Linked DNA regions of Danio rerio. The protein of the gene in region 2 interacts with the protein of the main gene of each other region in a biochemical or structural test. Links are inferred from orthologs where the notes say so. Each region holds a gene or a part of one and is shown on either strand. Other genes may lie near its edges. The genes, in order: crhr1 and gopc.

Region 1 (4,261 bases), on a different chromosome or scaffold from region 2:
ACCAATTTAAGTGGATTGAACAAAAACCAATTAAGTTTTCCCCAAACACACTCAAGAAATCAGTTGTTTTATTTTAAATAAATTATGTGAACAAACAGCGTACTTTATTTTTTTGAGTGTACTTTATTTCCTGAACAATCCCTGCTTGATATCTTTTATGGCATGTGTAATGTCAGACGACGATGTAACTTTTTGAACAATCACTAGTTACTGCGTTTAATTACATGTGTGATGTCATTGAGAAGGAGGGACAAGCAATTGTTTTCCTGAAACTAGAGCATAAGCACACAATGTCTCCATTGGAAAGCCACCAGAAATAAAAGAAAGTGAACAACAGTAAGTGCGCATATAACTTCATCAGTCTTTCATTTTGTCATCTTGAAGAACTGAAGAATTTCTCCTTTTGGTCATTGTCACATATAAGACAAAACCCTGTCTTTATTAATTAAAATAATTAAATAAAAAAATGTTAATAAAATCAAAGGATGCAGGCACAGCGCTGATTATCATCCACTGGGAAATTACTGTATATAAGATTAAATTATGAAAAATTACCATTGTTGTTTATAAAGCACCACAACACCCAGATGGATTGTGGCAAAATTTAATTGATGTTGTCTAAACCAGGAATGAATCATTCTTTCAGTTTAAGGAGTAAAAAGCAGATATCGCTTTACTTAAATACCCAGCCAGATCACAGCAAGCTCACCAATGTGCTGATGCAACGCAAAGATGAATATAAGTCAATTAGTGCTTGTATGAATTCCTAATTGCTTTTCTGCACCTCTGCCAGCCACGTGGGACGTTTCACAACTCTGGAAAAGCTGCAAAGCAAAAATCACATTACCGTGTCTTTACTCAGTCAGTATTTCTAAACTTTCATAAAATCAATCATCACTCAAATGGTTTTTCGGAGGAAAACACTCTCTGCTCCAGCTGTCCACAGTGCTGAAAGTGATAAAATGCACATTAATGGTAGCGGAAAGCTTGTATGTTTTGACTGTCAGAGTTTCAGCGCATTACTTCATAATGGTGCCAGACTGGGCCACGGTCCAGAGCAGAGACTGATAAACTCGCTGCATCCTATTTGAGGCTAAAAATAACAGCTCTGTTCCTCTTTACCTTTAAGTGATGTCATTTCGCATTATTTCGAATCTATGATATGCTTGTGATGCTGTGCCAAGCTTCTATTATAAGCTGAAATTGACATTCTTTAAAGAATGTCTTGCAGCTCAGCTGAGGACTGGCAGGGGATTGTGTCCTGTCCCTGCTTGTATTTACTGTCTACAGAATTCAATAGCACACCCACACACTGCTGAGTCACATTGGCAATGATCTCCCTCGTGGAAGGATTGTCATTAATTACCTCCACAGCTTCCCTTAAAATCTCAGTGTCAGGCAATAGTTTAATGACACCCATTAAGTGCTACTCTGCGATAAAAAAAAAAAAAAGTGAAAGAAAAAGCACAGTAAAACTAGAACAAAAACAGCTTTTTAATATACTGTCACTTTCAATAGAAGAAATTAATTAAATTCCAAACACATTTGGAAATGTTTTAACGACAAAAAAGTTTTTGAATATCTGGTTCAACTTCCAGGAACAAAATGCTTTGCAGTCACTTATGATATTCACAGCTGCATATATTATTTAGACTGTAAGTATACCAATATACTTAAAGCATTAAATCTTTTTGTTTACAAGATGCTAGCACCAAACCCAGGTGTTGGGTGATACAATGGAAAAGTAACACGATGTGCTGAATAAAAACTAACCTCTATTCTATAGTAACTGTCAACAACAAAGTGACAGAGCACAGGGTTACTCACACAATACAAAACACACTATTAAAGAATATTGCTACAAATACTAAAGACACAACAAAAACCGGAACGCACAACTATTAACAATTTAACTTTTTAAATGAGACCAAAACACACTGGCACTTTGCACTTAAGGTTCTAGGAACTCTACTTAACAATAAACATGATTTTAATAATAATGATGTACATGTTTATGTTCTTCTCCCATAATTTCAATAGTTTTACAACACAATGCGGTCTTCTACCATTTTTACACCATAGCTAGTTAACTAATAAGCATATTAAAGTTAACCAATTAAATGTTCTTGAGTTTTAGTTCTTGTAGCTTTTATAACAAACAACATGTTTCCAGTAAAGCTAAAACACGCTTTGATGGGATAATAGTCGTACCTGTGGATGGAGGATGCGACTCATTGCTCCAGTGTGTTTTTCTGCAGAAACCTTCAAACAGCAGAGCGCTCTCGTGCTCCAGATGCAGCTGTCCGGATGCTCTGCTCCGGGGTGACAGACCTCTGCTCGAAAAACAATAGATTTGCACCCCGAGGATGATCAGTGCAGCATTTACAACTGGAAATCAGCAGGGCGAATTATGCGCGCATTTGAATCGCTGCCTCATTTTCACCCACTTCCAGAGGAGTTATTATTAATATAAGCGACATATCCTTGTGTTTCGGGGTATTCGGTGGACACTTAATCCTCAATAAACAATCTTCTGTCGAGTTTGACTACTTAAGGTCCTGGGAGGCAGGTGTAAAGCGCTTCAATCACGACACCAATCACGCCCGACACCCAGTCAGTGTTTCCAGATATGATAAGCGTCTCGACCTGCTCCCCTGCGGCTGGAACTGAACTTTTCCAAAAGTACTACCACAATTTTAATCTCGTTTACAAAATTATCCGTTCCTTGTTAACACGGCGGATCCTCTTCACGTTGCGTCCTCGCACTGACTGACCCTCTGTTTGAGTCCCATCGGTCAACGGTAAAGCGTTCACACGAAGCCCTACATGACAGCGAGGAGGCGTCACTGCGCGCGGATAAAAGGAACAGACGCTGAGATTTTGCGCGCGTGCGGGTAAAATGTAGTCCGAGAGAAAATGTGACAACTGTAAGAAGTCTAGCTGACGCGCGAGCGGAGTTCGCCGGTGCAAACTAATCCGTGCCGTTCCCACGCGGGCTGCGCGTCTTTAACCAAACCGGCGGTTCACTGTTTAGCGCGCGCGCTCCGCAGCGGCATGAGACTCAACACCGAGCAGCCTTCATAATGAGTGAATTCCATTCGAAAGTGAGCATCACTACACCCTGTTCAGTCTGAAAGGGGGAGCACTCGAAGAGAGTAGACTCTGAAGGGAACAGGGCGCATTTGAAACACATGGATATGTGTCTACGTCACTGGCACTTATTTTCATCCTAAAGTTATGATGTGAAATCAACATTTTGATGCCGTAATGTTTGCGTAAAAGATTTGTCCTTAAGGTAATTTGCAATGGTGTACGCTGATTTTTTTTCTTTTTTTTTTACAGATTTAAAAGTTTTGTTTTGTAACTATTTGGGTTGCATGAGATTAAAAAAGTGTTTGAATAAAGAAAATGCCATGAAGTAAGTTTGAATTAGCACATTGATTACAGTCAATGCATTATAGATGCACTGATTGAGTTGCATAACCCCTCATTCACTGTGTCTTAAGCGAATGGGTTGTCATGCAGAGATAAAACATAATATCAAATCTTTAATATGAAGTTTCATCTGAAGGTTTTCTAAAATGTTTGAATGAGAGGTGACAGGATATGCCAATTTGTCTCAATAATAGGTGCCTCCAGTATGAAAGAGAGCCATTATCTACAGTGGTGGGGTTTTGTCTCATTTATGGACAGTGCATTCAACATGAACATTCACACTTTTGTATGGCTTTGGAGAATGCGATCTGTTTGTCAGTATGCAAAGCAAAAGTATGTTATTTAGCATAAGTGTAATTTAGAAAAAAATTGTCATCCCATTTCCCCAGGGCGAAAAGTGCTTATTTTGGCTTTATACTTTATGCAACGCTAGGGAATCATATAATCCTTTAGCTCTTTTTATCTCTCGATCCATCCAGCTCTCCGTCTAATGATCCTTCTAGTGCAAAGAAATTCTGGACAGTTTTGTCTAAACAATATAGCATCAATTAGGTTTGTTACATACTTTTTTTTTCACTAAAACATATATGTATACACACACACACACTACATCTTAAACTCATGGTGAACTTTAGTTTTCAGTATTGTTGTTACCACTCTTATGTAAAGCTGACAGCACAGCAAATCCTCCACATGTATTTCCAGACACTGTCCCCTTTTTAGATTTAAATTTGTTTTCAGGGTCAGGAATCGCAGCAAGTCCAAGACAGAGGTGTCGAAAAGAACAACTGGCTATATTCAATCATTCTCCATATCGCATTAATGC
Region 2 (4,392 bases):
TTTAATAATAGTTATTAAGGTGGAAGTTGGGTTTAGGTTTCAGGTAAAATTAGGGATGCAAAATAATATCATACCTTATAACTACTAATGAACAGGTAATAACTTATTAATAAACAGGTAATAAGTAAGTACTTGATAGCATGAATTGTGACCTAAACTAAAGTGTTACCCACTTTTCTACTGTTATTCAGTGTAAACACACTAGATGGACGTGCACAATGAGTTCATGAGTAGTTAAGAATGGGTTAATCATGATGTGCCTCTCCAAGAAAAGTCAGGACATAGTTCATGATGGTTAAATTAGGCATAAACTAATGTGGTAAAAATACATTAATTAACAAACAATCATGCATTAACAAGTAATTACAGTAGCGGTTATTCACACATGAACTCATGTGACTCATGTTGTAGTTAAAGTAAGTCAACGATTAACACGCATTATGAATAATGAAGTAATGTTTAGTTTATATATTAATACATCATTATTCATGTACTGTTATTGTCAAGTGTTACCAATTTAGTCATGTCAAGACTCCTGCAATGAATAAATAATACCTAAAACACATACAATTGGAGGTTTATATATATATATATATATATATATATATATATATATATATATATATATATATATATATATATATATATATATATATATATATATATATATATATATATATATAACATAAATTATTTTTAGTAAATATAATAACATTCTTCAGTTTAAAATACGTCCAAGACATCACTTCATTGAGATCCACCCTAAAACTCGTCCTCAATCAGCTAAATTGAACCTGAAAGTGTGTTGTTGAATAAAGAAAGCAAGCCAATGAAAGCACATGTGGATGTGCACGTTTAATACAACACACTCGTTTCTGTCCCCGTCACCTACTGACCACCCGGTGTGCAAAACAGGAAGTAAAATCATCCTGTTTGCCTTCGCTTTAGATCAGAAGACAAACAAGCAGGATCGACTCACGATCAAGAGGTTAGAAACATATGTTCACACACAAACACACACACACACACACACACACACACACACACACACATTCTGAGCAAACAGTAACTCGATTCTATATCCATCTACTTCAGTACAGTGTGAAAGTTTGAGCTCATCTATGGAAGATACACAGAAGGATCCAACATTGTTATACCATAAACTCGATTTACTCGCTCTCCAACGCAGATGGTCATTTTGTGTCCCTTTATATAACCCAAAATGATGACAAATATTAGCAAAAAATAATAATAATCCACCGAGTGCCATCATGTCCTCTTCTCTCAGTGTTTCTCAGTGGTTCCTCAATCTCCAGTGGACGTAAAAGCAGACTGTTCTCCATATGCAATAAAACCAAGAATCTCCTATATGTTACATATTATACATGTTCAGTCTTCATCTCTTACTGATGTCTGCCGTTTTCTTCTGGGGGTTTTTCAGTGTCTAGGATGAGCTCTCTGCAGACTCTGCTGTTTTGGAGGTTTTGTCGTCTGAAGGGCATTCGCTGGACAAGCCCACGTCTCCGTTCTCTGTTCTGTTGTTCACTAAGTGCTTCCCTACAGCTGGAAGGATACAAAAAAAAAAAAAGCGGACAGTAAGGTTTTACATTTTTTTTAAATGATTACTTTAACAGACCATGGCTGTTTCTCAATATGCATTGTGTTCTCATATAAAGTCATCATCAATCCACATAGTTCAGTTCTAAAAAACTTAAGAACGGAGGATGTGTGAAAGAACCCGGATGTGTTTTGGATATCAAGGACCCATTGATGCAGACTTGATCGTAGAACTCGCTCGAGAAGTCTCAGAACTCATTGTGGCTGAATAAGTGAAGTTTATTTATAAACTAATTTCGAGAGGATCATGTGCTTATGATTGCATGCGGCTGGTCCTGCATTATCCAATTTATGATTCACCAATCAGACGATTCCTAAGCCTCTATAATCACTCTAAGTTCCATATAACAGCCATCTTTGTTTTGAAGAAACCCCCTTCCACCCCTACTCCTCCTCCTTTCCTAGACACGGTGGCCCAGTGGTTAGCACTGTTGCCTCACAGCAAGAACGTCACTGGTTCTAGTCCTTACCATGCCAGCTAACGTTTCTGTGCCGAGTTTACACCTTGTCCCCGAGCTCACGTGGGTTTCTCCAAGGTGCCCGGTTTCCTCCCACAGTCCAAAAACATGCAACTTAAGTTAATTGACTACTCCAAATCAGCACCTTAGACATGCTGCTAGTAAGTAGTTATCTCTTAAGAGCAAACACTATCTGTTCATTAGCATCTACAGCAGAAGAGTTCTCGAGATCTACCTGAGCTCAAACTAACCTCTCGCCTTGCAAACAGGAGTGAACCCTGGACTCGAGGATCTTATGAGCTCAGGGCTCTCTCCCGGGACAGCAAGTCAAACAAGCTTTATAAACAATCATCAACTAAGTGTGAACTCTTGAAAGGAGATAAGAAGTACAGCATTTCATATCTGTTTATTATTATAGTGCAGAGACATAACTTCCCTATATGAGATGGTGAAAGTAAACTTTAACATGAAAATCTTAATAAAGACAAACACATTAAGGGTGTTTATTTGCTGAAATTCGTACTAAAATATGTTTCATTTGTGTTAAAAAAAATCTAATTGTGTATTAAAAGCATCGTCAATGAACCATGATGCACCAAGATATCGAATTGAACTGAATCGATGGCATGATACGGTGGCCAGGAAGTGCAAAACTACATTACAAAGTGTGAAACACTTATACAAAGCTCGAGACAAATTTACATTTTAAAATTTTTTTTACCTATCATCAGACACATTTATATGTGTGTCACTTCCAGTGTGTGGTACATTACCTTTCCATAAGGAATCTGTAATTGTAAATTAGTTTCGGGACTTGTAAAAGTGTTTTTTCGTCTTGTTCATTTTTTTTAAAAAAATGTTAATTTATTTCGTCCTTGGTAAAATAGTTTTTCCTATGTAATTGTGTCTGATGATAGGTAAAATGTTTTTCAAAATGTAAATTTGTCTTGAGCTTTGTAAAAGTGTTTTACAATTTGTAATGTTGTTTTACACTTCCCGGCCACCGTAGCATGATAATCTTAACCGGACCGTGAGACCAGTGTAGGTTCACACCCCTAGCAGCAGCACTCCGGGCGTCCCGAGTTTGAATTCCAGCTCGAGGAACTTTCCCGAAATATATATATATATATATATATATATATATATATATATATATATATATATATATATATATATATATAAAAATATATATATATATATATATATATATATATATATATATATATATATATATATATAGATAGATAGATAGATAGATAGATAGATAGATAGATAGATGGATAGATAGATATCTATATGTCTGTCTATCAGTCTTTCCAATCTGTCTTTCATCCATCCATCTATATTCAAACTGCTTTCATCTATCTATCTATCTTTTTCAAACTGCTTTAATCTATCCATCTATCCATCCGTCCGTCTGTCCATCCATCCATCCATCCATCCATCCATCCATCCATCTCTCTCTCTCTCTCTCTCTCACTTCACTTTCTGTCAACATACTGTCCTGTCAAATAAAGGCAAAATAAATATTAAAAAAAAAAGAATGCTGTAATGTTTAAATAATTTTCGTGAAATAATTTAGATAAAATTCGTGAAGGTCATGTGACCATCTGGAAGAACGCAACATCTCATTTCTCAGAGGATACGTCCTGTGCTAGACCGAGGTAACTTGACAAGACCACTCTCCATAAGAATGCGAGTCCATTCTCTGTGTTCTTGGAAGCCATTGATTGGTTGAGCTATAAGCTAAAAGAAAAGCAAATGTTGTTCAGTGTGGTGTCAGGAACGCAATTCAAGCAAAGAAATTGGTCAAATAAAATAAAAATGTCTATTTCTTAGACTGACGGTAAAAGGGCTATTTACTAAGCTGTTCATTTTGGTGGTTAACAGCTTGCGTGGATTTACTCTGTACTCACTATTTACTTTCCCTCAAGTTGTTCCAAACCACTTTTTCTTTATTCTGTTGAACACAAAAGAAGATATTTTGTAGAAAGCTAAAAACCTGTGACTTCCATAGTAGGAAATACAAATAGTATGGAGGTCAATGGTTACATGTTTATCTTAAAATATCTTCTTTTGTGTTCATAAAAAAAAAATAAAGACAAACATGTCAAGGGTGAGTAAATGATGATATAAATGTAATTTTTTTGGACGAACTACCCCTTCAATTCAGTGTACTTGCCTTGTAGGGAGGCGGGGTCAGCAGTGCCATTGTTGTGATTGGCTGCTGATGCCTCTTCCAGCTCGTCCAGGTACAGACGGTAGCGGTGCCCGCTGTCGTCTTCATACTCCACATTCTCATCATCTGAGTCCACTT

Evidence for each region.
Region 1: the proteins of gopc (region 2) and crhr1 form a complex in vitro, tested with the Homo sapiens proteins (2 studies listed by BioGRID and IntAct, with this or other methods). The link is inferred for Danio rerio from reciprocal best matches to the Homo sapiens genes GOPC and CRHR1.

The regions. Positions count from the first base shown.
Region 1 is NC_133178.1:20,403,541-20,407,801, reverse strand, and holds the start of crhr1 (corticotropin-releasing factor receptor 1), read right to left. Parts: upstream 3,090-4,261; 5' UTR 2,236-3,089; coding exon 2,212-2,235; intron 1-2,211.
Region 2 is NC_133195.1:45,574,019-45,578,410, reverse strand, and holds the end of gopc (Golgi-associated PDZ and coiled-coil motif-containing protein), read right to left. Parts: coding exon 4,258-4,392; intron 1,564-4,257; coding exon 1,445-1,563; 3' UTR 827-1,444; downstream 1-826.